Linked DNA regions of Struthio camelus. The protein of the gene in region 1 purifies or fractionates together with the protein of each later gene. This does not show direct contact. Links are inferred from orthologs where the notes say so. Each region holds a gene or a part of one and is shown in the gene's direction. Other genes may lie near its edges. The genes, in order: SOX2; POU domain, class 5, transcription factor 3; SQSTM1; CCT3.

Region 1 (7,587 bases):
ACTGTAATTTCACCCTGTTATATTGTGCAGTAATTTCTGAGTTTATCCTCAGCACTGGTGCTTGATTTTCTGTTTTATTTTGGGGGTCATGTAGCAAAAAAAAAAGGGGGGGATGAGGGGGAGGACTTTAGTTATACTCTCCTCTGGGAAGAAAGTCCAGGGAGTGTTATTTTAGATGCATAGAAAAAAAATCGCAGGGAGTTTGAGAAGGCTGTTGGCTATTTATGACGAGTCCTGGAAGAGTGTTTGGACAATCGGCTTCTCCATTTATTGAGAAGCCCTTTGAAAGCGACTTTGAGAGGTGGTGTGTGTGAGCCGGCTTTGCTGCTGTTTATTGTGTACGTTAAACACGTCTGAGGAGGTTTCTCTATTTTTTATTTTTATTTTTTTAATTTTGCCTCTGGTAGCACTGCAGAAAGGTGGACACGGATTTTTTTTTTTAACCTCCCCGCGTTTTTTTTTTTTTTAACGCCATAAAAATCAACAGCTGAGCGCTGGTTCGCGGGCCGGTAGCCGGGAGGGGAGGTGGCAAGCGGGCCGCTCGGAGGGCGCGGAGCTGCCGCTTCCCCCGGGGGCCCGGGGCGGCCCGGCCGCGGCGCGGGGGAGCCGCGGGGCGACGGCCCCGGCCGTGCGCTCGCCGCCCGGCCGCACGTGCGCTCGCCCTTAGGTTTCATTAGGGAGAATTAGGATGAAAGAGGAGCCCGGGGAGGAATGCCGAGCTGCCTCGGCATTCCCCAGCTTTCAAGGGTCCTTAGAGCCCTTGAATGAAATTATTGGGTGAAATTGGGTCTGGCTGGAGCATTTGTTACTCGCCCCCCTCGGTCGTTTGTACATATAATGCCACTTCTGAGAATGACAATCGGGCTACTTGCTGGACAGGCAGGGACAAAAAGCAGATTAAACCGTTTTAAATAATAATAAAAAATATCCAAAATGTAAGCAGAGTGGATTACACTTGCTCCAGCGCCTCGGTTCCCCCCAATTCCCCTAAGAGTCACCCTCGCCCTCGGGCCTCTCGGAGAGGAGGCCCTCGGCGCCGGGGGGGGGGAATCGGGGAGCTGAGACAGCCCCACTGCGGAGCGGGTGCGGAGCAGTGTGCGCAGCACCGCCGCCGCGCTAGATGCGGCCTCTGCCAACTGTTGAAGTTTGCCTGAGCCCGTTTCAGCGCCCCGCGGTCGCTGCCGGGCCCCGACGGACGCTCCCGCGGACGGGCGGTGTTTGCTCGGCTGCGGGAATCCCGCGCTTTCCGCGCCTGGTGGCGGCCGGGGCCGCAGGGCCCTTCCTGCGAGCCACCCGGCCCCGGCCCCTTCGGTGGGTTTATACCCACTCGCCGTGGGTGTTTCTTAGAGCGTTCAAGGGCATTTCTGCCCACCTTTCCCTCTGGATGCTACCGCAGATTCACCAGGTGATATTTGAAATTCCCCAGAGACAGGGGTATGGCTAGCGTGGTGAAACTTCCTTGGCTAACTTTAGCTCCTGTGTGATGAGCTGGTACAGAATTAGAGGGGGAAGAGGAAATTTCTCTGTACATTTTCGTCTTCAGATTTTTTTTTTAATGTAATGAAATTAAAACTTTTGGAGCTCACAGCTGACATTTTGCAGAAAATTGAGTTATCAAGGCAGTAATTATTTCACAGGGAGATAAAACTCTCATAGCCCTAACTGTCAAATAGGGCCCTTTTCAGATTTTAATTACAAAATAAAATTAGTCTGCTCTTCCTCGGAAGGGTTTGTGAGTGGCTAAACAGAGCTTTCCCCAATACTGGTGGTCGTCAAACTCTGCTAATTAGCAATGCTGAGAAATTCCAGTTAACAAGGACATTCTCTAAGTCTCTGCAGGTTCCCTGCCGTTCGCCTTCATTTCCATAAGAAGATTAAGAGTGGAGGGGAACACACTCAAATGCAGATGCAGAAAAGAAGCGTTTTTAACAAGCATCATAATAGTAAGATGCTTGGCTAGTTCTCACCTAATTACTGCAAGTTAAACCTCTATTTGCAGCTAAGGACAAAAAATGGAGCTGCAATCTTCCATCTCCACAAGACTGCTTAATAGTTTGCTTTAGATGGGTTACTGGTAGGTTCAGGAAAAAGAATATGAAAATGGGTATATTCTTTCTGATACAGTTAACACGATAGGTTGTATCCTCAGGGTTTTTAAAGAAAGCAGCGAGTATCAGAACAATAAAAACATAAAATTCAAGTAGCTAGCATTCATCTTCTTTTTCAGAAACTCATAACCTGGAAATAAAAGTGAATGTGCCGTAGAGCCCACCATTGAGAACATTTGCAGACTATTTGTTTAAGCACTTTTCATTTCCATAAATTATACCAAAGGCAAAGATTTTTTAAATCCACCCAGATTAAACCATCCCTCTGCAGGCCTCCCTTTCAACGTGTCTATATTCTTCCAGAGAGTGGTGGTGGTATTGTTATTAATACAGAAAAATGAGGTACCGTTTCCTCCTTTTATTTTATAGTCAGCATCCCAATCTGTCTATACTTCTGTGTGTCTGTGTACACATATGCAGCCAAACACCTATATAAGCAGAGGAAAGGGAGAAAATGTTCTAAAAGAGGTCTCGCCCTTATCTTATTTTCTATAGCGCGTTATTATGTATATATGACAGACAGAGTTTATTGCGTCGATAAGTAAAAGAGTTAATTAAAATAAAGCTGTAAATACTCCCGATAACACAATTGTTGGGTATTTCCACCCCTTATTTGTGTGATAAATACAGTTAAGGAAGGGCTGGGCCGGGCCGGGCCAGGCCCCGGAGCCGCTCCAGCACACGCAGCCCGGCCCGGCCCGGCCCGGCCCGGCCCGCCGCAGCTACCGCGCGAGCGAAAAGAAGACTTGCTTGTGCACCACCAGCCCTCAGTTATCAATTCAGTACGAAAAACAAACACCACTGCCACCCACCCCACCCCCTTTTTTCAAACTTAATTATCCCTGAGATTTTTTTGGAATAACGTTATCAACTGCAGACCCAAGCGTAAACAATAAGAAAGTAAATAGCCGTTGTGCCCTCAGGAGGGTCTGGACAATCAGAACCCGTTTATTTCCTGGATCTCATAATTTCTACCTATTTTTCCATGGTTACCCTGTCACTTATCTAGGGGTTCTATATACATTTTCGAATTAGACACATTAAATCCGATCGGATTTATTTGCATAACCCACAAAAAGATGCATCCGTGCTGCTGGCGTATTCTTATATGTATGTACGTATATAGTGCTATTATTTAGATGGCATGTCATTACCGGCTCCTTCCCCCCCCCTTTCCCTTCCCGCTCTCACGCCGCTTTCCCGCGGCACCTCCCGGCGGGGCGCGGGCGCAGCCAGCAGGGGGCGCCGCCGCGCCGCGCCTGAGCGCCGCGCGGGGCCGCGGACGGGGCCGCGGACGGGGCCGGGGCCGCGGCGCTGCCCCACGGCGCTGCCCCTTCCCCCGCCGGGTTCCGCGGGCTCTGCCGCCTCCGCGGAAAATCACCCTGCCCGCGGATCCCCCGCGGCCTAAAGATGTGAGGGGTGCTCGGATTTGGGGCAAAAAAGCCGGAGCGGGGGTGGGGTGGCGGGGAGGGGAGGGGAAGGCCCGTCGGTGGGGCAGGCGCGGAGCGGGGCCCGCGGCTGCTCGCCGCCGCGCTGGGGCGGGCGCGGGGCCGCGGGCGGCGGGGCCGGCGTGAGGCTCCCCCCTCTCCCGCTCTTCTTCCTCCTTTCCCCTCCTTTCTTTGTCGTCAAGTGCGTTTTAGCAACAAAGATCCCAACAAGAGAGTGGAAGTAAACTTAGCCGCCGCTTTGTTTGGCCCCGTGTAGTGACAACAAGGGAAACAAAACTACCTATTTGTAACGGCCTCGCCGCGGCTCTGCCCCCCCCCCCGCCCGGCCGGCCGCTGCGCCCCGGCGGAGCTGCGCTCGCCACCACGGGCGCGGGGTAACGCTGCGCCGCGGCCCGGCCCGGCCCGGGGCTCCCCGCCGCCGCCAGCCCCGCCGAGGGGTGCCCCCCCCTCCCTTGGCTTCCGTGGGCACGGCGTTTGGGGCACCCCCTCCCCTGCCGCGGCTGCACCGGGCACCTTCCCTCCCCCCCCCCCGGCGTTTCCCGAAGCCGGAGGAGGGAGGGAAGGGCTCGGCGCTGTGTGCCAAGGTTTGAACGGAGCCGGGCTCGGGGCAAGGGAAGCGGGAAGGGCGCAGGTTGTGCCCGGGCTGCCCGGCCGGGGGGCTGCGCTTTTGGGGGTGAGGGGGGATGAGGGGTCAGCGCGGGCGGAGCCGGCCGCGGCGAGCGCTGCACACGCAGGTCGCCGCCGCCCGCGGGCCCAGCGCAGCCGGGCGGCCCCGCCGCGCCGAGGGGCGCCGGCCCAGGGGGGACGGGGGCGGGGGGAAGCCATCGCCGCTCTGCTCCCTCCATGGCTTCCCCCAGCCCCAAGCCAACACCAACTTATAAAAAAAAAATGTAGCAACAATGCTGTTTACCCACTTCCTCCAAAAGGCGTGTGTGACCTGTTGCTGGAAGGGGAGATACAAAGGCTTCCCAGTGGCTGCCTGGGCCGCCTCTGGGCCCGCCCCCCCCCGCCGCGCCGTCCCGGCGGCGCCGAGCCCCCGCCCCGTTTCATGCAAAACCAGGGGTAGAGACTTGTCCTCAGTGGAGGAGCCGCCGCGCGCTGATTGGCCAGGGCGAACACATTTATTCCCTGACAAGCCCCCATCACATGGATGGTTGTCTATTAACTTGTTCAAAAAAGTATCAGGAGTTGTCAAGGCAGAGAGAGAGAGTGTGTGTGTTTGCAAAAGGGGGTAAAGTAGTTTGCTGGCTCTTTAAGACTGAGGTGGAGAGAGAGAGAGAGAGAGAGAGAGAGAGAGAAAGAGGCAGACAGAGAAAAGGGAAAAAGGAGGAAGAAGTTTTTTAAAATCGAGGCTCCGGCAGTAATAATAGCAGTTATTAGCATTATTAATCCATCAGCGAAGAGGAAGATTCTGATCTTGATCCAAGTGTGGTTTTGGGGAGTCCCCCTCCCCCCTTTCCTACCCCTCCCTAGGAAAAAAAAAAAGTCCGGCTTGGGACTTTGCTGCCGCTGCTCCTCGCTTCTCTGCTCAAGGCTGGTTCCAGGCAAAAGTAGTTTGAATGTACAACATGATGGAAACCGAGCTGAAACCTCCCGCCCCCCAGCAAACTTCGGGGGGAGGCACAGGCAACTCCAACTCGGCCGCCAACAACCAGAAGAACAGCCCGGACCGGGTCAAGCGGCCCATGAACGCGTTCATGGTGTGGTCCCGCGGGCAGCGGCGGAAAATGGCCCAGGAGAACCCGAAGATGCACAACTCCGAGATCAGCAAACGGCTCGGGGCCGAGTGGAAACTTTTATCCGAGGCGGAAAAGAGACCCTTCATTGACGAAGCCAAGCGGCTCAGAGCTCTGCACATGAAGGAGCACCCGGATTATAAATACCGACCCCGGAGGAAAACCAAGACCCTCATGAAGAAGGATAAGTACACGTTGCCAGGGGGCTTACTGGCGCCGGGCACCAATACCATGACGACTGGGGTAGGGGTTGGGGCCACCTTGGGAGCTGGGGTGAACCAGCGGATGGACAGTTACGCGCACATGAACGGCTGGACCAACGGAGGCTATGGGATGATGCAAGAGCAGCTCGGCTACCCGCAGCACCCGGGCTTGAACGCGCACAACGCGGCGCAGATGCAGCCCATGCACCGCTACGACGTGAGCGCCCTGCAGTACAACTCCATGACCAGCTCGCAGACCTACATGAACGGCTCGCCCACCTACAGCATGTCCTACTCGCAGCAAGGCACCCCGGGCATGGCCCTGGGCTCCATGGGCTCGGTGGTCAAGACGGAATCCAGCTCCAGTCCCCCCGTAGTCACTTCCTCGTCTCATTCAAGGGCTCCTTGCCAAGCGGGGGACCTCCGGGACATGATCAGCATGTATCTACCAGGTGCTGAAGTACCAGAACCAGCTGCCCCAAGCAGACTTCATATGTCCCAACACTACCAGAGTGCACCTGTTCCTGGCACAGCCATTAATGGCACACTCCCTCTATCGCATATGTAAGACAAAGGGGCCGGGGGTGGGGGAAAGGAAAACTAAACAAAACAAACAAACAAAAAACTTTTATTAGAAATTCTGGACTTTTTTTTTTTTTGGACTATTTTTGTACAGAGAAAACTGGGGGCGGGGAGGGGGGGGAGAAATAAAACCGACGAGGAACTTGTATAGATCTTGGAGGGGAAGCAACTACACAAAACTTTTAAAAAGTTCTAGTGAAAACGGTAGGAACTTTGCAGAAAGTTTGCAAAAGTCTTTACCAATAATATTTAGAGCTAGACTCAAAGAGCGAAGAGGAAAATGTTTTAATATTTGCAGGCAACTTTTGTACAGTATTTATCAAAGTAAACATGGCAATCAGAATGTCCATTGGTAATATAGAGAGGGAAAAAAAACAACTCGAGAATTTGCCAATTATTTTTTAAAAATAGAGTCTACTTGGAGCATTGTGACTTTGGCAGCTGAATTTATAGCAGCTGCGAGAGGAGAGGAAATTATTTTACAGCATTTGGACATTTAAATTGTTTTAGAAATTGTACAAAAGGCAAAAAGGTAGGACGAGTACTTGCGAACCATGGGCTTGGTTTGCTATAAAAGGGCAAACGTTTAGCTTGTACTAAATTTTTTTTTTTTTACTTCTTGTTAAAAAGCAAAAATTGCCATGCAGGTTCACACGCCGTTTGTTAATTTATAATAACTTTTTGTTTCCAGACTTCATCCTGTTCAGAGAAAAGAAAAAGAAAAAAAAACCAACCTGAAATTACTGTGTTTGAAATATTTTCTTATGGTTTGTAATATTTCTGTAAATTTATTGTGATGATATTTTAAGTTCTTTTTTTTCTCATTTTCCGTAGTTGTATTTTAAAGATTCGGCTCTGTATTATTTGAAATCAGTCTGCCGACAGTCCATGTATATATTTGAACTAATACCATCCTTATAACAGGTACATATTCAAGTTAAGTTTTTACTCCATTATGCACAGTTTGAGATAAATAAATTTTTGACATATGGACACTGAAGTTACGCTTGAGTCTTGGATTTATTTTTGTAATGCAAGATTTTTTTTTTTAATAATTCATGCAGTAGAAAGTGGTATCGTTGTGAGCAGCTGAGTATTGTAAATAATACAGCAATATATATATTACACATGCATATATTTTTTATAGCTATATATAAAGTACAGTAGCTTTAAGTAGGTAACTGAAGGTGACTGCTTTGCAGGGACGGGAATGTGGAGTAACACGGTCTGTTCCAGATTCCCTTCCCCTTCGCAAGGAGGGCGCGGAGCGCGATGGGGTGAAAGGACGTTTCGGACTCGCCGTTTGGGACCACTTGTTGCCTCGGCGGGGCCGCGGCCGAGCCGGAGGGCTGCGCGGAGCCGAGCCGCGGCAGGAGGCGGCGGCGGCGCGGTGAGAGGGCCCAGGCGCCCCGTTTACGGGTCTCGAGCATTGATAATTTCTCTCGTTTCCCCCCCGGTGCTTTCTGCCGTGGGGCAGGCAGGAGGCAGTGGCTGGGGGCCGTTCCGCGGC
Region 2 (7,174 bases), on another chromosome or scaffold:
CCTACCTGTGTGCAGTCCCCCTCCCCCCCCAATAACTGCAGAGCAGAAGGGCTGGTGGTTCAAGCTTGCAGCGATGTGGGTGATGCCCAAATTACAACCCAGGCTGCCTACTGCTGGGCTGGGCTGCACAGGCCAGTTTAATGAGGATGCAGATCTGGACCAAACCATCCTCCACGGCTTTCAGCTCAGCCTGGGCTCATATGCTACAAGCAGTCCTTTCGTCTTCCCAGCATCAGCAAGTGGCATCTTCCCAGCTAAGCCCCTTGCTTAATCCTTGCCAAACAAAACAGCTACACGGAGCCAGGAGAGCGGAGCAGAGGGAGGTCCCCAGCTGTGGTGCAAGCCCAGAGCCTGGGGGGGCGGAGGCAGAGCTGAGTGCCCTGCTCAGCTGAAGGAAGGAGCAGTCCTTTGGCCAGGACCCAGGGGAGCAAGATGTGGTGGGGGGGGCAGGGAAGTGAAGGGGGCTGTTCTCACCTAATGCTATCATTAGGCAAGGGCACACCAGGAGGGCCAGCGGGCAGCGCCCAGCTCTGCTCCCAAGGATGACACCATCACAGCTGAGTGGTCTTGTCCCACACTCATGGGCAAGGCTGGTGAAGCAGGATTTGCCAGGTCAGGATCCATGGCCGGGGTGCAAAGGAGACTTTCCCTCACCTACCTGCAGCTGCACAGGTCTGTCTGTCCAGCCCTGGCAGGCCCGTCCAGCTGCAGCCTAGCAAACTGGATTGCCATGGAGGAGTTTCAGTTTTGCTGCCCTAGATGGGACTTTGGGGGCGGAAGCCACCGGTCTGACCCTTGTCAGATGGGCCTGGAGCGAAGCTTTTCAAACATGGACCTAGCTGGGCCCTTCACGTTGCTGCTGACCACTTTGGCCCCATGCCCACCGTGTGCAGGGATGCAGCCCACCACATTGCTCTGACTCCAGTATATTATGCATTAAATTCAGGTGCATCCAGCAGAGTCCTTTTATCTCACCTGCCACAGGAGAGAGGGTGGTTTGACAGTGAATAAAACATCATCTTTGGCCACACGTTCTCGCAGTATCTTCTGTCACCAAGCCAAGCCAAACCAGCATCAAGCCAGCATAATGCAGCAGACGGGAGAGACAGATACATGCGCACCTCAGTGCCCCCAGCTTGCTATCATCTCACCAAGGTTGGTAGGACACGGACATTTCTCTCTGCTCCCATTTTCTGAGCAGGATCCCACTGACATCTGGCTTGGTTACAGATCACAGTGCTCAGCCTGCCACAAAGCACTACAGTGCTGCAGGATAAGGCTGTGGGTATGGGGACGGCCTGCCTGCCAGGACACGCTGGGAGGCAACGGCCTTCCTCCTCCGGAGCATGCAAACTCTAGGAGCATCTCCCCTGGAAGGAGGTGAGGAGCTGCCGAGCGCCGGCCATGGGGCACACCAGGAGCCCTGCACCTCGCGCAGCCCCAGAGCTCGCCCTATTGAAATGGATGGGGGGGACGGAGAGAAACCCCACTGACTTGCTCCACATCCCCCAGCGAAAAACATCACTGCCCACAATGGGCCGGGCTCCTACAAAGAGGCAGTTCAAAGTCAACGTCTCCCCTTCGCCTCCGCCTGTATATGAAAGGGAGCTGGAATGTGTTTGAGGGCGCGATGGCTCGGCCCCGCTTCCTGGGGGGATGGAGAGAAAGAGCAGGTCGGGGAAGGAGGAGGGGGCCCAGGCCAGGAACAATAAATCAAAGGGAAAGGGGGAGTTACTGCCGAGCTGAAGGGTCTTCTAAAAACGTCGCAGCCCCAGCTGGAGCCCGGCAGGAGCAGAGGTTGATCGCTGCCCATTGGAGTCCTGCGGCGACACTTCCTCTGCCCGCGGGCTCCGGGCGGCATCCTCCGGAGAGGGGCCGGGGCCGGGCCCGCTCCTGCTCGCCCCCTTGGCCCCCGCTGCCGGCGGCGGCCTTCAGCCCCGGCCGGAGGAGCGGCTCGCTCCTTAGCGGCCGGAAAACGGCACAGCCCAAGCCAGCGCCTGCCGCCGTGACGGCCGTGCTGCGGGAAGTGGGAAGGCGCCTGGCCGCAGCTGCGGGATTCACCGCTCTGCCCTCCGCAGCCCCGGCTTGCAGCGGGGTCTGCTCTCCCCTGAGGCACTCCGGGGTTGCCTTCCTCCCCACCGAGTGCTTTTTTGCAGCCTTCAAGTCTTCCCGAGGGCATTTTTCTAAGGGCTGCCCTCCCTTTTCTACAGCAGCGGGGTGCACTGAAGGGTGACAGGCACCCGCCACACAGCCAGCCAGGACAGGCGACGCCGCAAACCCCCAGCGAGACCATCCACGAGTCGGGAAGGAGCTTTAAATACAGCTCACCCTCTTGTTCCCCCCCCCCCTTTTTTCCTCTCTTTTATAAAATTCATTACAACGGGGTGGGGGGCTGTTCTCTGCATCCCTTAAACACGTGCACGCACCCACGTCCCCCAAAGGGCAGCAAGGGCCACCGAAACGAAGGGTGCTCAGCCTGGGGGAGAGCAGCCCTCCCGGGAGCCGGCCCCAGCTCCTAGCTCAGCAGCCACCACCCAGAGCAATTGTTTCATAAATCAGTGACAAAACGCCTTCCTTTCAGGCCCTGCCAGAAGCACTATCCAAAACACAAAGCCAAGGGGTGGGGGCACTCTTCAAGCCTATCTCTTTGGCATATCTCCCGAGTGTGAGACTGCAGAAGGCTAAACAACAGCTCGCAGTAATCCGGGTTAATAAACAGGGAAAGGTGCTGGCAGCGGGCCTGCTCCACAGGGGCCCCATCCCTGGAGATGGGGGGCTGCCCCACATCTTGCCGGGGGTCACCAGGTACCTGCCTTGCCCGTGCCTCCCTGTGCCCTGGCTCCTCCGCCGAGGCCGATGGGGTGGCAGCGTCAGGGCCGTGCCACCTCCGTGGGCTCCGCGGAAAGCCACCATGGATGGGAGATGGGAGGGAAGGGGGGAAATGCCTTGAGCCCAGGTCTGATAGCTCCATTGTGAAGCCGCAGTGTGAAAGGAAAGCCCCTAAGATAGCGAAAAATATCATGCCTGTCCCATTGTGGAGCCGATCTGCGTGATAGCGAGGGCCGTGATTAGGCCCCAGAGCGGCACACCCAGCGCTCCGGGGCCTCATGCAGTGAAAGGCCGCAGCTCTGCAAAGCAAAGCAGATGCCTGCCCTCCCAGGTGCAACCCTTCCTCTGCAGGGTGAGGAAGAGGGGAGCAACAGTGGGAGCGCAAGGAAGCCAGGGGTGCCCAGCTTCTCTCCTGGCCATGGTCTCTGAAGCACTCAGCAAGGCATCCCACGGAGCAGCAGGCCTGCACTGCTCGGACTGTAGACAGGCGAGAAGGGATTGGCCAGCGCTTGTAAGGCACCCCCAGTGCACCCCAGCAGCATCCTGGTGGCTGCTCATCCCTGGGGCTCGTCCTCAGTCTTGCTGATGAGGGCCGGCCTGCAGCCCTAGGCAAGGCGCCCACCCCAGCGGGCACCTTCCAGCTTAGCTCAGGCCACTGCGACTATCACCGATCTGCAAAGTATGTCCCCCCCCCCAACCTGATTGCTATTTTCCTGCCCACCACGAGACCCTACAGCAGGGAGTTCCCAAGGTCAGGAGATGCTAAGAGGGGAGCATTGCCTACAGAGGGATGGAGACGTTGGATTCCCCCATCCCCAAGCACCCCATAAGCTGTGCGCGGGGGGACAGGGAGTCATGGCCCTGCCAGGTTGCTGTTTGCTGCACAAACGGGGTATTCGAGGCATAGCATATGGGTGCCCCACAGCATGGCCGGGTTTATCGCCCCACTCGGGGGGGATCCAGCCTTCTCCTTTCCATGGCCCCAACGGGAAGAGTCCCAGAGGGCCATAAATCACATAGCCGCTCTGTTTTATTTCCCCTCCGGACAGACACCCCTGCGGCCGGGCCGGCGGCGCCCCCTCCTCATCCTCCCCCCACCAGAAAAAGGGGATCAAGTTCATGCCCGACCCACCGGTGCGGCCGCGCCGCTGGGGCCAATGGGGCCGGGGCCCATTTCCATACGGTCCGGCCCGGCCCGACCCGGCCCCGCCGCCCTCAGTGGCCCCGGCGGCGCCGCAGCATGGAGGCACCGTCGGGCGAGCTGCGCCCGGCCTGAGCGCCGCGGCGGGGCCTTGCCGCAGCGCCGCATGGAGCCCTAGGGCCGCGGGCACCATGTTCAGCCCGGACGGGGGGCTGCCGGCCGCCCCCTTCGGCCTGCTGCCCGACGGCGGCCCGCCTTTCGCCCGCAGCGGCTACGACGGCGCGGCCGCCCAGCAGCTCTTCTTCCCTTTCGCGGCCGAGCCCGACGGCGGCCGCGACGCCGCAGCCGCGCCCCGCGCCTGGCTGCCCCCGGCCGCGGGGCCAGCGGCCAAGGCGGAGGCGCGCCCGGGCCGGCCCTGCCGCCAGGGCTCCCCCGACGGCCGCGCCGCGCCGCCCGCCGCGCCCTGCTGCGGCCCCGCCTGGGCGGCCCCGCCGTGGGGCGGCCCCGCGGCCCCCGCCGCCGCCCTGCCCGGCCCGCCCTTCGCCGCCGCCGCCGCCGCCGCCGCCTTCCCCGCCGGCCACGGCCTCTGCCCCGCCGCCCTCCAGCAGGGCTCGGGCGGCCTCTCCAGCCTGGGCAGCAGCGGCAGCTCCAGCGGCGCCGCCAGCGAGGGTGGACAGTCCAGCGACAGCGGCGACGAGGTGAGAGACCCGCGACGCCGGCCCCGGCAGCGGGCTTGCGCCGCTCCGCGCCCCGGCTCCGCCCTGCCGGGCCTCCCGCGACGGCGCCCCGAGGCCTGCGCTGCGCTGCCGGCCGCCGGGCGCCCCGTCCCGGCTCGGGCCTGCCCCGGGGCGGCTGCCCTGGCCGGGGCAGGTGCCGGCGGGCGCTGCCTGACGCCCGGGCCGGGGCAGGGCCGCGGAGGCTGCCGAGGAGCCCGTCGAGGCGGCGCTCAGCTCGGCTCTGCCGGGGGAGCCGAGGCGGCGACCGTCGGGGCCGGGCCCGCTGCCGCCGGGCGGAGCGGGGCTCGGGGCGGGGGGCACCTCTCACAGAGAAACGGAGCAAACGGGTGAGCTGCGGACCCCCCCCCCCCAGTTGAAAGGGGCGCTTCAGCCTTCACCCTGCTCGGGGAGAGGCCGAGCAGCTCCGGGCGCTGCTGGGGGTGACCGCGGTGCTTGTCCCCCAGCCCCCTGCCCCTGGGCGACTGCTGCTCACTTTGCTGTCAGCTCCTGCCCAAATGCAGCTTTGCACTTTACTTTTTTTTCCTCCCTCTAGACATTTCAAAACAGAGCTCCTAGGTGGCCGAGGCGGGGGAACGTCTAACCTCGCAGGGGGACAAGGGGAGAATAAACCTGCCAGCAGAGGGTATTCTGCTCAGCACATAAAAAAGCAGTGGGGACTTGGATCCAGCTGCCTGCCGGGAGGGTCTCCGGTCCCTCGCTGGCTGTGCAGACACCAGGGCGTGAGAGGCTGGGAATCGTTGCAGAAATCCCTTAAGCTATCCTTGTGCGGGGCAACCTCCGGATGCCCTCAGCATCCGACTCAGACGTGCTGTGATCCCTCCTGCATCATGATGCTACTGATGCTGCGGAAGAAGGGGAGTACCCAGGGTCTGACTTTCCCTCTGCTGCCTCCGTCACTGCAATCTCCCAACCTCTGTGGGTGACTGGGACCCGCTGCTGAGGTTTGAGGGCAGTTTTGAGTTGGGTCGAATGCTCCTTGAGCATGTTACTTTGTACTAAAAAACTCTGCTCAGATGAGAATCACAGGAACACCAGAACAGATCATGGCTATGGGGTATGTCTCGCTGCACCTGATCTGTAACAGTCGTCTCCAACCTGTGTAGCTATGAAAAGACCACAGCTGTTTCTCCAAACCCTTTCTGCTGGGGGGTCTCGCTGGCATCCTCCCAGAGTGCGGTGGGAAAACGCAAACTTGTGCTTATTGAAGGGCTCCACTGGGAGCTTGTAGTTACCTGAGCCTAGGGGCACGGAAAGCCCCAGCACCTGCAGCCCGCTTGCTCAGCAGCTCCAGCAAGGGGCAGGCAGCACGATTTAGCAGCACGACTGGCAGAAGTTGTGTGTTCGTTTTTTGTTTTTAAACTCCCTTCTTGACATAATAGAAAACCAGTGCTCCCAGGCAAAATTACTCCAGGGTTAACAGCAAATGGTGATGTGTTTTGTTTTGGTTTTTTTAGAAAGTTTTTGCAAGTTTTTTCTACTGCGGGTTGGTTTGTTGTTTTCATGCAGGCTTGCTGCTGTGTTGGTGCCTAAGGGAGTAGAAGCGCTCAGACCCACGGAGTTCAAATTGTGAGCACTGGTGGGTGCACGCGGTGTGGCCAAACGCCTGGGCTGTCCTGACCCGTGCGTGGCTCTGCAGTGCCGGATGGGGGTTAGATGAAATTCTTGTTGTCAGTTGAGAAAGGGTCGGGAGTGCCCTGTGGCAGGGATGCGCTCAGGCTTGTTGTGGGTGATGTCTGCGAACAGTTAAAAGGTGAGACTTGTGGGCAGGAGGCACTTCTGTAAAATCTGAAATTCTGCTACGAGTGTGAAAACTTGTTAAATGGTTGCAAAATGTCCACTGCAGTGGTTCCAGATTGTAATGCAGAGAGGAAATGAAGCACTTAGGTAAGCAGCTTTCCAGAAGTGTAGAGCCTGGTCGTTGCAAAGATCTGTTAAAAACCCATTCAGATCATCTGCGCTTTCCTCATTTTCTTTATCTGAGTCATTTTGCCTGCTCTGGGCCTCAGCAGGCTGCAGAGCTGGTGCGTGCCCCTCTCTCTGTGCCGGAGGGCCATGGGAGATGGGTGTCCATGTCCCTGGGTAGCTGAGCACCATGGTATGGGTCACAGGATGTGTGATGGAGGGGAAATGCCAGGGACATCAGCGAACGCGCTTCAGGCTGTGTTTGTGCTGCCCCAGGGCAGGCAGCAAGGGTCTGAATCCGGGGGCGGAAGCTCCCTGGCACGTCTAGGGGCAGAGGGAGAGCCGTGGATGCTCCCCGCCACCTGCCCTTGCACCAGCCATGCTGGTGTAGTAGATGGGACATGCGCGCCATGGTCCTGGTGAGCCACAGCCAGGCCAGGTCCTGACGGAGTTTTCCAGGTGTTTTTGCTGCAGAGCAAGGTGGGGTGGAGGTGCTTTGGGATCCAGGGCCCAACAGAATCCCTTGCTCAGGGTTTGGGGAAAACCTTCTGTCCCTGGCCCCATG
Region 3 (7,988 bases), on another chromosome or scaffold:
GGCAGACGAGTAGCGCTGGGCATCCCGCGACACCGGCGGGAAGGGGGCCCTCGGGGCGCTCCCGATTTCCTCTTGGGCAGGTGAGGCGCCCGCGGTCACCCCGGCGGGGCGCAGCGCCTTGCCTCGCGCCCGCTCTGGCCAGCTGCAACGGCTGGTTAAAAGCAGGACCCGCGTAAGAGGGAAAGCCCCGATAACACCTGCCTGCAGGAGCCCCCCCTGCCCAGCTACCTCCCTCGAGCCTGTACTTTAGGAAACAAACGGCCCTTTACAGTCTTGACGGGGCCCTCCGACATCTTTTAGGCATCACTGGAGCGAATCAGCAGAGGGAGCCCGGCGGGCGGCGCGGGACGTTTATTAAAGCCCTGCCAGGAGCGAGCCCGGCGCCGTGGCTGAGTCGCCCCGCGTCCCAGCGGCCGGTCCCGGAGGGGCCCGGCGCCTGGCGGGGGCCGGATTTGGGGAACGCGCCGCAGGGTCATTGTGACCCCCCCAAAGCTGAGCACTGCGCTACTTTCTTTCTCCCCTTAAATCCACAACTTAAACCCGGGAACCAGCAATAGGTTCACAGGAATTAATGGAAAAACCCTCCAGAGGTAGCTGACGGGTCACAGCTGCTGGTGGGAAAGGCGCACGCCATCTCTCTGCCGTTCAAGAGTTCGGCGAAACGACGTGACGCAGTTTAGTGCATCGGATGCTCGGCGTTTATTTTCAGATACGCAAAATGTTCCTGACACTTGGGATGTGGGTTTATCGGCAGCAGAAGAGAAAAGGATAATCTGAATAGTTTCTCCAAGACAATTAATTACAGTGTTCTCCTAAGACAAAGCTTAATCTAATTTCAGCTTTTACACTTTGTCTTCATAAAGGTCTGAAGAAATGGAGGAACTTTATACTGCCATTGCACATCAAAAACCTTGGGCCCTGTTGGAAAAAGGTGGGGCTAAGCGAAATTGCCAGCGGTTGCAACTTTTATCTCAGACCGACAAAGTTCGCATTTACTCTTAAAGTTCCTCCCTTCTGCTTCAGTTTTGACATTTACTCTGTTTAAAAAGTAAGTTCTGACAGGCCTTCTGGGTGCTTTTGCCGTGCCAAGTTTAAAATGTGAACTGCAAAGACATAAAACCCCGATGGCGAATAAACAGAGAGAACGTGCTTTTTGAGCTGATCTCACGCTCTTTGAGCCGTTGACGTTGGCAATCCCGAGCCCGTTTCAGAAAGCAGGGCCTTCCACTGAAGGCAGCCTGATAGCAACCCCCGGGGCTGGAGGCTGTAACAAAAATTAAAAATAGAAAGCATACATTACTTCTAGATGCAAAACGTAACCCGGCTTTATAGCTGATTTAACCCGGCTCTCCCCAGAGCTCGGCTCTGGAGTTTGGCCCATCTGGGATCAGGTCACGCTCGGTCCGTCCCAGGGCTGATTTAAGCAAAGCCTGCTTGCTGTTTTACCCTTTTCATGAAACACAGTAACTTCATTTCCTGTTTGTTTTACACAGCCCTGCGCTTGAAGAGCATGATAACTTGGTTTACTCCGCTACAAACGTTTCCAAATGATGCCGGATTTCATTGCAGGGTGTTTACATCAGGTTTGCTCATACGCTCCGGCTTTAATTCGGGGCGGAAGCCACGAGTCACCTTTGCAGAGCAGCAGTCACCTCGAGCAGTCAGCGGAGGCTGCGAAAAGTTCCCCCTCGCTTTTGGAAACACGAGAGCCCTCCTGCCTGCGCAGCACAGCACGGCCACGATGTTTGCCCTGCGCGCCTGCTAAACAGAGGTTTTTTCCCCTACTTATTCCTCTTCGGAAAAAAGAGTCCTAGACTCTTCTGTGCTTAGAGCGCACTTCCGCGTGACACCACTGACAAAAGGTACTGAATGAGCTAACCTTGGGAAAAAACCTCAAAAACGGAGGACAGCTTGACCTTCCCTTCTGCCTGCGCTTCTGAGAGAGAAGCTTTTCCGCATCCAGTTCTCCAGAGCAAACTTTCTGGTCGTGACCCTCGCGCCTCAGCCCAGCTCCTACACACGCGCGTTCCTAAAACGCGCTGTAAGAGGCCGCTGAGGGGCAGCCGGCTCCGGAGAGAGGAGGCGGGAGGTGGGCTCGGGGGTCCGGCCGCTGCGCGCCCGCCTCCCTCCCGCCTGGGACGGGCGGTCACGGCAGGGAGGCGATCACGGGACACGGGACACGGGGCTGAGTCACCCGCCTCTCGCCCCCTCGGTTCCCCCACGCAGCCCGCAGGGCCCCGAAGGGGGATCCCAAGGCCCGACGCGTCGCGGGCCCCGCTGAAGCGAGGCTTTCGGCAGAAATCGCCTCCGCTGGAGAAGCCGCAGCAGCGGCGGCAGCAGCACCAGCAGCAGCAGCGGCAGCAGCCGCCGCCGCCGCCAGCAGGCTCGCAAGCGGAGAGGCGGCTGGCCGCCCTCCTGCGCCCCCGGGGAGCTTGCTGAGGCCACAGGGAGCGGGGACATGGGGGGGATGTGCAGCGATCGCGCCCGCGGAGCACCAATCCCACGCGATATTTTTAAACGCTTCCCAGCAGGGAGCGGGTGCAGAGGGAGCACCACGAGCTGTGGGGACGATCATTGCTCCTTTGTCATAGTTGTTTTCTTTTTTTTTAAACATTGAGTAGTTTATTTCTTATTTTTTAACATTGAGCCCTTCCTCCCTAACGTCAAAATTTGCAACTGTAACAGCTTTTCCTCCCCCCCCCCCCCGTCTCCTTTGCTGTTCCACCGCGGATAGCTGCCCCGAAACGCACAGAAAACGCGCAGAGTTCAGGCGAGCTCAAGCCAAACCCGGGGGGGGGGCGGGGGGGCGAGTGCAGCGGGGCCGGGGCCGCAGCCAGCCGCGGCGGGGGGGACGCAGCGGCGTTTCTCGGGGCCCCCCCGGCCAGCTGGGCCCCCGGCGCCGCGCTGGAGGGGGCGGCGCGAGTCACCGCTGCCCCGTGATCCCGGAGCTCAGCTAAGGACAAGGCCGGGGGGGGGGGGGTAAAGCTTTGTTTTCCGTGTGTTTTGAAAAAGTGCGTGATGTCAGGGGAAGGCGAGGGTGACTCAGCACGCAGCAGGCGCGAGGGGAAATTCCCTCTGGCTTTTGGCCCTTTCCACGTTTGCCAAGTGGCTTAAAGTTCACCCGGAGCGAAACTTGGGCTTCCGCGCTTAACGCGGTGACTCTCTCGAGAATTACAGGCGTCGACGTTAATCCGGAGACGCGACCACCTTGAAAGGACCCGTCAGCTTCGGAACAAACCGCTGCGGGATCGCGGCGGAGGGTGCAGCAGGGTCTGCACCGGGGCGGCGGCGGCAGGAGCTGCTGGGGCAGGACGCCAACTGGGCACCTACGGAAACAATTTCCCGACAGCCGCGTCCCTGGCTCCAAACCAGGGGGGTCCTCAAAGATGGGAGGCGACGGATGGGGCAGCGGGTCCCCGGCGACGCCTGGGGAGGCGGCTCGGACGGGCCGGCAGCACCCGGCGCCGCTCGGCCCGCGCCCGCCCGCCGCTCTGCTGGCTTCGTGCAACAACGTGCGACGCGTACGGTGATGTCAGGCCGTCACCCTTCAGCGGCGCTTTCAGAGATAAGACGCACGCGCGGCAACCGGGGGGAAGGGAGGGCGAGAGGCCTGCGCCTTCGCTTCGTGCCCAAACCGCTCAGTACTGAGTGCTGCTAACCGTGCTGAATCATTCGCCGCCCAGCGTCGCTTACTTCCTCTCCCGGTTAAACGTTAACTCATCGCTTCTGGTTGGAGAACCGGCCGTGAAATAGCTAGGAAGCAAACCGGGCCTTTGAAGTTAAAAAAAGGCAATTTTATCTACCCTGAACGCTGTTTTCCAGAAAATGCCTCGACTTCAGAATTGCCACACGTCTGCCAAACATTTATCTATGTGGAAGGGCAGCTGTTTCCCCATGTATCAGGTCGAGAAACAAACTCCCTCCCCATCGTGGAAAAGCAAACTTAACTTTCTCTTGATTTCAAAAGACGATAAATCATGACACAGTTTCTCCTAAATTTGTATTCTCTCAGACTGAGAAACATGTCGCTAACACTGAGGGCAGCGAGGCCCTTAGGTGAGAGGAAATTAACACCAACTAGGAACCTAATAGTCATTGATCCCTCTTGATTCAGTTACGCTTGGAAGGGGCAGATAGCGCTGTCGGCCAGCTGACTCTCCTGCGGCCTAAGAGGCCTGTCGACTGCATCTGATCCGCAGAAAACCACCGCTGCCAACCGGCTTGGAAAGTCCCCAGAACAGCATCCTTAATGTCAGTTGTGTTTATCCTCGTATCTTTATTTTTAGCCCTCCTCCCAAAAAAAAAGAAGGATTCAGGAAAGATTGTTAGCTGACACGTTATTGTTCCCCTCCAGGGCGGCGCTCCCAGCCGGGTCCCTCTGCGCCCAGCCCACCCCGCGGCGGTGGCAGCCGCAGGGCGGCGATGGCACCTGCTCAACCCCGGCAGCCGCGAGCACGGTTCCCCCGCGGGGACGCGTTCCTGCATCTCCCGCGCCCCCTCGCTCCCCGGAGGTGCTCCGAGGGCCGAGGATCCAGCCCCGGGCGCGGAAACCGCAGCTTCGGGGCCGGCAGCCCAGGAGCAAACTCGAGCCCCTGACGCTAGGTGCTGACTGCTGCGGCTGCAGGTGGTTTAACGGGGGGGGGGGGGGAACGACCCCTTTGCATCGGCGGCAGCAGCCGGGGTCTACCGGAGGCTGCGCGGCCCCGGCGGGGAGGAGGCGGCTGGCCCTGGGGGTGGGCCCGGCTCCCGGGGGTTCCCCTGCTAGCCAGAACCCGGCGCCAGCCTAGAACCGGGGCACAGCCTGCCGCTGGGGGGAGGGGCCGGCATCTGGGGCGAGCCTAGAACCCGGGGGCGGGGACAGGGGCGGGGCCTGGAAGCGGGGGGGCGGGGCCTGGAAGCGGGGCCAGGAATCTGAAGAACGTCTTAGACGCTAGGGGCGGAGCCTGGGCGCCAGGGGCGGGGCGAGCTGCGGGGCCCCCCCCCCCGGCCCGGCGCTATAAAGGCGGGCGGGTGGGCGCCGCCCCGCCCGCCGCGCTGCGCTCTGCCCGCTCGCTCGCTGGCCCGGCTCGCCGACGGCAATTCCTGCTGCGCCACAGCCATGGCGGCTCTGACGGTCAAAGCCTACCTGCTGGGCAAGGAGGAGGCGGCCCGCGAGATCCGCCGCTTCTCCCTGCCGCCGCCCGCCCGCTACCAGGCCATCCACGACCGCGTCGCCGAGCTCTTCCAGGGGCTGCTGCGGGCCGGGCCGCCGCCCGCCTTCCGCATGCACTACAAGGGTGAGCGGGGCCGGGGGGCGGGGGGCGTCTGGTGCCACCCGGCCGAGGGGTCTGACGGCGAGTCCCGCTCTCTCTAGATGAAGACGGGGACCTGATCGCTTTTTCCAGCGATGAAGAACTGGAGCTGGCCCTGCCCTATGTCCAGGACGGTGTTCTCCGCGTTTACATCAAAGGTAACGTTTTTGGCCCTGAACAGGCCACCCGCCCCGTCCCCGGGGGGCCGGTGTAGCCCGCAGCCTCTGGAGGAGGGGCTGAACGAAGGACAAAGTAGGAGACCCCTCTGCTGAGGTAAGGTGGACAAACTTACCGGTTTCCTCCTAGCCCTGTAGTCTCAGCTGGTCAGAAAAGGCCATTTTAGTTGTGCTGGCTACCTGGAAACACGTGACTGGCACTGATCTCGTTAATGTTAACAGTGATATGTCAAGAAGCTGAAATTGCAGTCCTTTCATCAGTGCTTAGTTGCCCCCTACTGCCTTGTGTTGATTTAGATACCTCCAGAGCCTTGTCCACAGTCTAAGGAGTTAAACAAGCTGTCGCTGTTGTCCCCATTTGCATCTGTTATGTCTCGTGGCATTTCTTAGATCCCTCTTATGAAGCCTTTTGTCTGGACGATGCCCAGGAAGGTAGGGCAAGAAGCCAAACGGAGTAGCGCGCTGTTAATCAAATGCAAACATGGAAAGAGAATCTATTAAGGATAAGGCCTGCTCAGACCAAGGAGCAGGTATTTTGGTGAAACCACTTCACTCTTGGTTCAGGTTCTCTTACGTGCCCCCGGCTTGTGTTTGGCAGCTAGCATAAAAATAAACTGACCTAGTAAGTCAATCCTGCTGTAACAAGTGCTGTTTGTTTCCTTCTCCCCTGCCTGATTCCCAGCCTTTAAATAGTAACCTGGTTCTAGACACAGTCTCCTTTCCTTAACAGAGAAAAAAGAGTGCAAGCGAGAACATCGTGCACAATGCAGCCAGGAGCCTCCCCGTGATATGGTGCATCCCAATGTGATCTGTGATGGCTGTGAAGGACCAGTGGTGGGTGCTAGGTTCAAGTGCACTGTCTGTCCAGACTATGACTTGTGCAGCACCTGTGAGAGTAAGGGCATCCACAAGGAGCACAACATGGTGATGTTTCAAAGTCCACTGCTACATCCGTTTGAGGTGAGCAAAATCCTGTTTGCTAATCTCCCTCCATAGCAGAAGGATTTTCCCTGAAAGCTGCTAAACCAAATCAATTCCTTTAGTTTCAGCTGCTCGTAATCTTTGTATGAACACAGTCACATGAACATTACTCTTTCCAGTGGCTTCCCCGAGGACGTTGGCTCCGTAAGATGCGGCATGGTGTTCCACCCTTCCCATGGATGCATCGCTGGGGATATCCTGTTCCTCCAGCTCCTTGTCAAAACTCTGAACAAGCCCAAGCCAGTGCTGCAGCCTCCAGTCCACCCACTGAGCAAGGTAAGAGGAGAGGCTCTGGTAAACAAAGGTGGTGGTGGAAGTGGCGGGGTAGATGAGGCTTCTGCAGCATGGTGTGGAATTGTGGAATCTGGGTGGAAAAACACTGAAACTATTTGCTTAAAATAATTAGCACCTTCCAGGGCAGAGTAGGATTGTCTTAAGGCATGCTTGGGCCCATGCAATAGAGGAGGATACAGAGATACTACTTGAGATCGTATCAAGGAGAGCTATGTTAAATCAAGCTCATCACTACTGTGCTCTAGACGTGCCTCTCGCAGCATGGCTAATGAACTAGCTCTGGAACAGAAAACCAATGACAAGAGCCTTGTTAAGGCTCACGTCGCTATACTGCCTTTCTTGTGCAGTGTAGATAAGCAATAGAAAACAAATACGGAGATCTCTTGAGGGATATGCTCTATAAATGCCGTCTCCCCACTGAGCTGCTGTGTGCTAACAGAAACTGTTTTTCTAGAAGCTTCTACTAACAGCCAGCCTCAGGACCCCAATGTCACCTTCTTAAAGAATGTTGGGGAGAGTGTTGCAGCTTTTCTGAGTCCCCTGGGTAAGTGACTTCCGGTTTGTCCATCCCTGAGACTGGCTTTGTGTGGCTCCTTTTAACAGGAGCAATGAGCTGTTGTGACTGATACCTGATACCTCATGCTGCCAAGCCTGAAAACCTTAACTTATTCCCTGTCCTAAAAACGCCTAGACTTAAAACATCCACTTAATACCCTTCCGGAGTCCCCATTTGGAAGGAAATGAGGAAAGACGATATGTTTTGACTGTATCATGAAGTCAGAGATGACTCAGGGCTTTGCCTTGCTTATATGGATGTGTACAACTTCTGCTTTGACCCTCTAAATGTATGGAGCACTTGTCCCAAGAGGAAGATGAGGCTGTCTGCTGGTTAACTCTTCTTTGTTTTAAAACAAAAGTTTCTCACTTAATTCCTGCATGTTCCATAGGAAACTGTAGAAATGCTAACGAGTTTAGGCCAGGATTAGCAAAGGCTCTTTCAGGGCTCAGCTTTGGAAAAAAATCTGTAAAACTCTTCCTCTCAAATGCTTTTATAGGTATTGAAGTTGATATTGATGTGGAACATGGAGGACAGAGGAGCAAAGTGACTCCTGCTTCTCCCCATCAAGAGAAGAACAGTGCTGAGCCCAGCAGCAGTACTGTTGACCAGAATAGTCAGACCAAACCAGACTGGAATAGCACAGATCCTGCTACAGAAGTGAGTGCTGTTGCAGAGCAGATACAAGAC
Region 4 (7,104 bases), on another chromosome or scaffold:
CTGCCCCACTGACTCCCCAGGACTCCCTCACCCCTAAGCAGATCTCCCTTGCCCCACAGAAATCCCTACAGCACTCCCTCACCCAGCAGAGAGCCCCCCTTTCTTGCAGAGACACCCTCTCCAGGACTCCCTCACGCCCTTGACATACCCCCTTCCCCCAGGACCCCTCCCCAGACCCCACTTTTCCCCCAGAGACCACCCTCCTAACACTCCCTTTCCTCCAGAGAGTCCCCTACTTGCCCCCAGAACTCTCCCCATGAACCTCCCCTATCCCTAGAGACCCCCCTCCCCCACGGCTCCCCTCATGGCCCTCTCCTGCCCCACAGACCCCCCCCCAGGGCTCTCCCCACGCCTTCCCTTGCCCCACAGACCCCCCAGGACTCCCTCTATGGCCCTCCACTGCCCAATAGACCCCCCCCAGGGCTCCCTCCATGGCTCTGCCCTGCCCCACAGACCCCCCCCCCCAGGGCTTCCAGGGCTCTCCCCTGCCCCACAGACCCCCTCCAGGGCTCCCCCCTGCCCCACAGACCCCCTCCAGGGCTCTCCCCTGCCCCACAGACCCCCTCCAGGGCTCTCCCCTGCCCCACAGACCCCCTCCAGGGCTCCCCCCTGCCCCACAGACCCCCTCCAGGGCTCCCCCCTGCCCCACAGACCCCCTCCAGGGCTCTCCCCTGCCCCACAGACCCCCTCCAGGGCTCCCCCCTGCCCCACAGACCCCCTCCAGGGCTCCCTCCACGGCCCTGCCCTGCCCCACAGACACCACAACTTCCCCCATAGATCCGCCCTGCCCCACAGTCCCCCTCCATGGACCCCCCCCCCACGACCCCCAGAGGCCCCTCACCGTCGCTGCCCCGCGGCACCCAGCGGAAGGCCGAGTCAGCACAGAGCGGCCGGAAGTCCCCGCCGACCGGAAGGCGCCGCGCAGCACTCTGGGAAAGGTAGTCCTCCCCCCCGGACTCCGCGCCTGCGCACAGCGCGCCGCCGCTGGGTCCCCTTTCGGGGCAGAGGCTTTGCCCAAGGAAACCTGGCAGAAGCGTCTGCAAAACGCCAGCTTTTAGTCCAAACAAATACTAAGAACCACCCCTCCCGGGGGAGAAAACGGAGAGCTGCTGCCTGTGCCAGGCCCCGCTGCCCCAGGGGAGGCGGCTGGAGGTGCACGGGGATTTTGGTGCTTGGTAGGACAGGCTGGTAGGTACACCTGATCCCTGGAGCAAGGCAGTGCCACTTCTCCAGGACCTGGTTGCCCTTTATTTAGGAGAGGACCAGTGACCTGAACCTATAGCTCAGGTTTGCTGGAGTTAGTGCTTTGGGAGTGAAGTAAACAAAGCTGCCAAGCCAGGATGGAACATAGGAAGCCAGAAAAAGTCCATACCTCCCCTCTTCCTTTGACTACTGTTCACGTTTCTCGCCATCTGTTCCGGCAGTTTGTGTATTTCTCCTCTCTTATCTCCTCGTTGAAGAGTTCTGGGCCCAAGGGGGAGATGAGGTGCCTTCCCCACTTTCCTGCCTTCAATTAGCGACAAGCAGGTAGAGCAGGAACCCGATGACCACCACGGCTCGGAAAAGCACTTCAAGGAGGAGCAGCAGGAGCATGCTGAAGACTAGGCTGGCCAGCAGCTGTGCCCAGCTCACCAGTAATGACGACTGCATAGAGACTCTGCAAAATGATGAGGGAGAAGAGGACGAGAGCAGGGAGTGGGATCACGGTTAAATTCCTTAAACGTGAGGTTAGCTATGTGGGTTGCCTCTCCCAGCACACAGCCCCCAAAACTGTACCTTCGTATATTAGGGCCACTCCGCTAACTAGCCTCACACCAGAGACGCTCCGCCCTTCTGTTTCCGACAGATTAGGAAACGTACTGACCTCCCCATTGCAAAACCGGTAACCAAAGCAAAAGCTGCTGGGCTCAATCTCCAGGAGGAAGCCTTGAGAGGTCACTTGTTCCCATGCTGCTCAGGCAGTTGCCTGCAGACCTCTGGTGGGAGGAAGGCCACAAAGGCACAAGAACTTCCCCAAATCCACACCTCCATATACGTGTTCCTCCTCACACATACACACACACAAATAAACAACCCATGAATCCACCTCTCCAGAAACCTCCCAGCTACGGGCTCCATGTACCTCCTCATACTCCTCTTGCTCTTATCAAAGTTCCCCGCTCAGCGTTTGGCAACAGACCTCCACGTACCCACTTTCTTCTTTCCCCCACGAACCAGGACAGTAATAGAGCAGGAGACTGGGAGTTAGCACTCCTGAAACTGGGCAGAGCTTAGCTGAGCCACAGACTATGGGAAACATCACAAAGCTCAAATCAATGTCAGCTGTCCACCACAGAAGCTGCATAACCACAGGCTGGGTTCCTCTCTCCAACACCTCAGTGCAGGTCCTTTTGAACAGCCCTTGGGAAGGCTATGAACCATTTAAAAAAAATCATACAGAAAACATCGATAATAATTGTACTTCCTGTTCCAAGGGCAGCCCTGTTACAGCCACTGTAATATGGACTGTCATGCTCGCACCTCCATGCAGGATATACAAAGGAGAGGTGACTGGAGGGCAGAGCGTGGGGCTGGGTCACTTGGGGAGAGAGGCTGTGCCCTGCAGACCTGCCTCCTGCTCCTCCCTCTTACATTGCTGGCTTTGCAGCAGCAGCCGCACGATCTACTGCAATCGGGAGGGTCAGATAGGCCAGAGCAACCTTAGTCTGGATCCGGAGCGTGTTGCGCATGCGCTCCTGCAGGGCAAAGCACTCCTGTGGCTGGCAGTCAGGGGCTGAGAAAGAAAGGACAGGAGGATCAGGCTTTTGCCCTTTCCTCCACTGAGGAATGGGAAGTATAAAATGGAAAAATGACTCACTCAAGGCTAACTAGAGCTGCAGAAAACCACAGTCTGACCCCACTGCTGCACCCTTTAGGCTACGCTCCCAGCCTGCAACTGGAAATAGACCCCAGAAACCAAGCGCCCACCTACCATACTTTGAAGCTTTGCCTCACACACGTTATTTCATTCTCCTTGAAAGATTGTTATTGTGGGGAGCTGCAGCGAGACTTAAATTTACGCAAGATATTTATCAGTACGATTTGCTATAGTGCCAGGAAGCCCAGTCATAGACCACAACTCCATGGGGGCAGCTATCACACAAACACTGAGAAAACACCAGTCCTTGGCCTAAAACGCTTAGGGCTTTTGACGGAGAGGAGACTTGAATTTCTCTGCAAAGCACCTTGTTCAAGCAGTAGCCGGACAGCAAAGGATAACACATCCAACCTACTTTTTCTGTGTGTTTTTCTTCCTGGTTAACCGTTGGTGGCTCCATATGAGCAGAAAGAGAGCTGCTAACTACGAGAGAGGGGAGAAAAAAAAAAAAAGAGCCGTGTTACTCAATGAAACAGGTCAAGGAAAATAAACTGGGAAAGCTGGAAACCTCTCCATGCAGCCAGGCTGCTGCTGCTGCTTTTGCGAAAAGGCAAACGGACTCCTTTTCTGCCCCTCTTCCTCTATAGTAACATACTGAGCAAGCTGACGGGCTGGATCACGAGCAGGGGGAGGTAACCGGCTGCTTCGGGCTCAGGGAGCGCTGAACCGAGGGGGGAATCACGATACACCAGGGCCCTGGGGAGGCCTCGCAGCCGCAGGCCGAGGGTCTCCGCTCTGAGGCGAACCAGGGCGGCGGCCCAGGCCCGACGGCGGGAGCTTCGTCCCGCCCGGCAGCGCCCTCAGCGCGGCGGCCCAGCCCCTCGCCCCGGGCCTCAGGCGGCCCGAACTACCGCTCCCAGCATGCCGCGCGGAAGCCTGCCACTCCCGTGATGCCCCGCGCTGGGCGAGACCAAAGCGTTTACGGGAGGGGTCAGGTTGGCGCTGAGGACTAAACTTCCCCCATATGACACTCAGAGACCCTCTAGCCCCTTTCGATTTCTTCTTTGGATCCGCTTCGTCCTGCTCCGGCACCTTTCAGGAGCGACAGGGAGCACGGAATGAGAGCCTCCCCCGCGGACCCTTCCAACGGGGCGCTCCGCGCCCTTTTGCGCATGCGCAGTCATCTCCGGCACCGCCCCTCCGCAAGCTCGGCGCGTGCGGCCTACGCATGCGCAGTGCCGCCTGGCCCCGCCCCGCGCGGCGCTGCCACACGCTCTAGGGGCTCCGCTTCTCAACCGAACTTGCTGAGAGAGGCGGGGAAGGAGGGGGGAGCGGGAGCGCCGTCTTCTTATTGGGCGCCGGGCCGGCCACGCGGGCGCTGATTGGCCGTGGCGGGAGGGAGGCGGGGTAGGGTGTCGCGGCACTGTGAAGCGGCACTTCTCGGCGCGGCCGCCTCGCGCTCGCTTGTCTCCAGAAGGTTCCGCGCCGGCCGCCGCGCTCCAGCCGCCTCCAGGATGATGGGCCCGCGCCCCGTCCTCGTCCTCAGTGAGTCCCGCCGGGGCCGCGCCGGACCTCGGGGGAGGGGGGTCCCCCGGGGGGGTGCAGGGGGCAGCGGGGGTCCCCCTTACCTCTCCCCCCACCCCCGCCGCCATGTTGGGTTCCCCCCTCAGAGCCGGGCCCTCCCTCACAGCCGCTGCCGGTTCCGGTTCCCCGCTCGGGGCGGGGGTCTCCCTCTTCTCCGGGGGCTTCCCTGCACCCCCGCTTCCCGCCCCGGCACGCCCTGAGCTTCCCCCCCCCCCCCCCAAGTGTCTCAGTGTCCTGCTATTCACAGCTGCTGCTCAGCCCTGGCCGGGGCCTTGCCCCCCCCCCCCCGGCCGTGGCCGCCCCTCTCCCAATTCCTTCCCCCGTGTGTGTCTCAGCACTCCGCTTTTCGCTGTCCCGTGTTTGAGCCCCTTACGCTGTTGCGAGGCTCTTGCCTTCCTCTGATGGGAGTCCTTCCTGTGGGCACTGCTCTCTGCTTGGCTTTCTCGTCCTTCCCTTCGCGTTGCTCTCTTTTGTTCTGTCTGGTAAATCTCATCAACGTGCGCAAGCGTCCTCTCCTGAAGTAAAGCTGTGCTTGTCCCTTCTGGGCTTGTAGTTAAGGAAAAGCGGCACCAGAGCTGATCTGGGTGGTGATTCTTTGGGGCAGATCCCTTTTGACAGCTGGTCCCCTAATATGGTTGTGAGGCTCTGGTGTGGTGATGACTGCTTGCACTAATGTCCTGAAGGCTGCGCGGCACTGATGTATAAGGCTTAACTTTATAATGCTGTTTTACTTATTGTGCATGAGCATCAATAACTGTTCAGACCGCTGAAAAATCCTGTGCAGCAATTTGTATGCTTTATGGGATCTTACAGATTCTAGTGAATCACTGCTGTTTGATTTTTGTTGGGGGGCAGAGAACATATTTTGAGTGTGCCAAACTTTGTCTTAGTTGAATTATGCTGATGACCAGGAATTCTTTAATGCTGTTTTTTGTTAATATGGTTCTGTGAGTATGCTCTCTCATACTGGCAGTCGCATTTATCTTGTAAGCCCTTAATTTAGCACTGGTCATATATCCTGTGTATGTGCCTGGGATGGTATCTGTGATGCATTGTCAGTATTACTACTTTGATCTTGGATTTCTAGTAAGATCAGATTTCAGTTATGTTTGGGCTGTTACTATTTATTTTTTCTTATGTACTTTAGGTCAGAATATGAAACGCGAGTCTGGAAGAAAAGTCCAGACTGGGAACATCACTGCTGCTAAGGTACCATATTATTATGCTGGTCTCATTTAAATTTAAGAGGAGAAACTGAATTTGGAGAGTTTTTCCTAGGCTGTATGAGTCTAGAGTAGAAGGAGCATAGAAAATGAATTTTCAGTGTTAAAACAACAGGTGTTAACAGTGTAACTGGACACTGAGGGGTTTAACACAGCAAACAGCAGCACCCCACCAAAACCTCTTTCTCTGCAAAATCTGAAAATGTACAAATATTGACTTCTGATTTAGACAATAGCTTAGGGGGATGCCAACACTACTATAGTCCCGCGCCCCGAAGTTCCCACAACTTCTGTATCTAAGCCACTATAGAATTGTTGGGTCACTTAGCTCTAATGCAGTGGCTGCCTGTTTCATGTAGATTATGGTTTACTAGAGGCTGTTTTAGACATTGATGCCTCCTTACATTGCCTAATTCTTTTTTTTCCCCTCTTAGACTATTGCTGACATCATCCGAACATGTTTGGGACCAAGAGCTATGATGAAGGTAAAAACTGCTGAAATCCTCTGTGCTGTATATTGACTAGAAACAGTGCACGTATGGCAGGCCACTGCAAATAATGTTTCTCTCTTTATATTGCAGATGCTTTTGGACCCTATGGGTGGGATCGTGATGACCAATGATGGCAATGCTATTCTTAGAGAAGTAAGTTTCTCCTAAAGGATTGTTTTGTTTAACAAGTGAGTCAAAATGTTCTAGAATGCAGTGAAGTAGGTGCCAGTGGAACTATATTGTTTTGCCTTGAGTCCTGAAAGCCAAAAGTAATAAACAGCAGTACCAAGAAGAGTGCTTACTGGGGAGGAATGAAATATTTCTAGCTAATTCTTTCTCCTCAGGAAAGTAGATTTGGCCCCGGGGTAGTAAGTTGTGGTGGTGGTTTTCCAAGATTAGTATAAATTTGATGTTAATTATAGTTATAGTCACTTGTAGGCCTCAAAATCGAATGAGTAGATGGTTCCTTTTACCACGCAAATAATTAGACCAAGAAGTCTTTGTTCAAATAACATCATAGAATTCTAAGTGCCGGAAAACTGGGAGATGCAATATTGTGGAACACGAGGGCTTATTTTCCGTCTTGGAAAAGAAGAAGATTCTTTGCCATAATTGGACAGAATGCCTTTGATCACTTAAAAGGTGTAGTAGTGTTTGTTCCATTGAGTAATACAAGACGTTTCAGCTTTAATATTTTGGACCAAAAGCATGCTGTTTGCCTCCCCTCCAGATTCAAGTCCAGCACCCAGCTGCAAAGTCAATGATTGAGATCAGCCGTACTCAGGATGAAGAAGTTGGAGATGGGACCACATCTGTAATTATCCTTGGTAAGAAGAGTGACTAAGACGTGTGCTTTTTTAAAAAGGGTAAGGCTGAAGTTTGCCCTGTCTCAGGCTAACTTAATTCTTGTATGTGATAGCGTTCGCATGATCAGATACTTCTGATTAAT

Evidence for each region.
Region 2: the proteins of SOX2 (region 1) and POU domain, class 5, transcription factor 3 purify together in Homo sapiens (affinity purification with western blotting; 6 studies listed by BioGRID and IntAct, with this or other methods). This does not show direct contact. The link is inferred for Struthio camelus from reciprocal best matches to the Homo sapiens genes SOX2 and POU5F1.
Region 3: the proteins of SOX2 (region 1) and SQSTM1 purify together in Homo sapiens (affinity purification with western blotting; 3 studies listed by BioGRID, with this or other methods). This does not show direct contact. The link is inferred for Struthio camelus from reciprocal best matches to the Homo sapiens genes SOX2 and SQSTM1.
Region 4: the proteins of SOX2 (region 1) and CCT3 purify together in Homo sapiens (affinity purification with mass spectrometry; 3 studies listed by BioGRID and IntAct, with this or other methods). This does not show direct contact. The link is inferred for Struthio camelus from reciprocal best matches to the Homo sapiens genes SOX2 and CCT3.

Annotation. Positions count from the first base shown.
Region 1 is NC_090950.1:23,949,169-23,956,755, reverse strand, and holds SOX2 (transcription factor SOX-2), read left to right. Parts: upstream 1-4,669; 5' UTR 4,670-5,115; coding exon 5,116-6,063; 3' UTR 6,064-7,077; downstream 7,078-7,587. UniProt on the Homo sapiens protein: Transcription factor that forms a trimeric complex with OCT4 on DNA and controls the expression of a number of genes involved in embryonic development such as YES1, FGF4, UTF1 and ZFP206. Binds to the proximal enhancer region of NANOG.
Region 2 is NC_090961.1:13,637,184-13,644,357, forward strand, and holds the start of POU domain, class 5, transcription factor 3, read left to right. Parts: upstream 1-4,161; coding exon 4,162-4,668; intron 4,669-7,174. UniProt on the Homo sapiens protein: Transcription factor that binds to the octamer motif (5'-ATTTGCAT-3'). Forms a trimeric complex with SOX2 or SOX15 on DNA and controls the expression of a number of genes involved in embryonic development such as YES1, FGF4, UTF1 and ZFP206.
Region 3 is NC_090954.1:7,033,510-7,041,497, forward strand, and holds the start of SQSTM1 (sequestosome-1), read left to right. Parts: upstream 1-4,984; 5' UTR 4,985-5,098; coding exon 5,099-5,276; intron 5,277-5,353; coding exon 5,354-5,449; intron 5,450-6,197; coding exon 6,198-6,427; intron 6,428-6,567; coding exon 6,568-6,724; intron 6,725-7,196; coding exon 7,197-7,286; intron 7,287-7,797; coding exon 7,798-7,988. UniProt on the Homo sapiens protein: Molecular adapter required for selective macroautophagy (aggrephagy) by acting as a bridge between polyubiquitinated proteins and autophagosomes.
Region 4 is NC_090971.1:3,933,323-3,940,426, reverse strand, and holds the start of CCT3 (T-complex protein 1 subunit gamma), read left to right. Parts: upstream 1-4,096; 5' UTR 4,097-4,371; coding exon 4,372-4,402; intron 4,403-5,588; coding exon 5,589-5,650; intron 5,651-6,098; coding exon 6,099-6,149; intron 6,150-6,245; coding exon 6,246-6,308; intron 6,309-6,885; coding exon 6,886-6,982; intron 6,983-7,104. UniProt on the Homo sapiens protein: Component of the chaperonin-containing T-complex (TRiC), a molecular chaperone complex that assists the folding of actin, tubulin and other proteins upon ATP hydrolysis.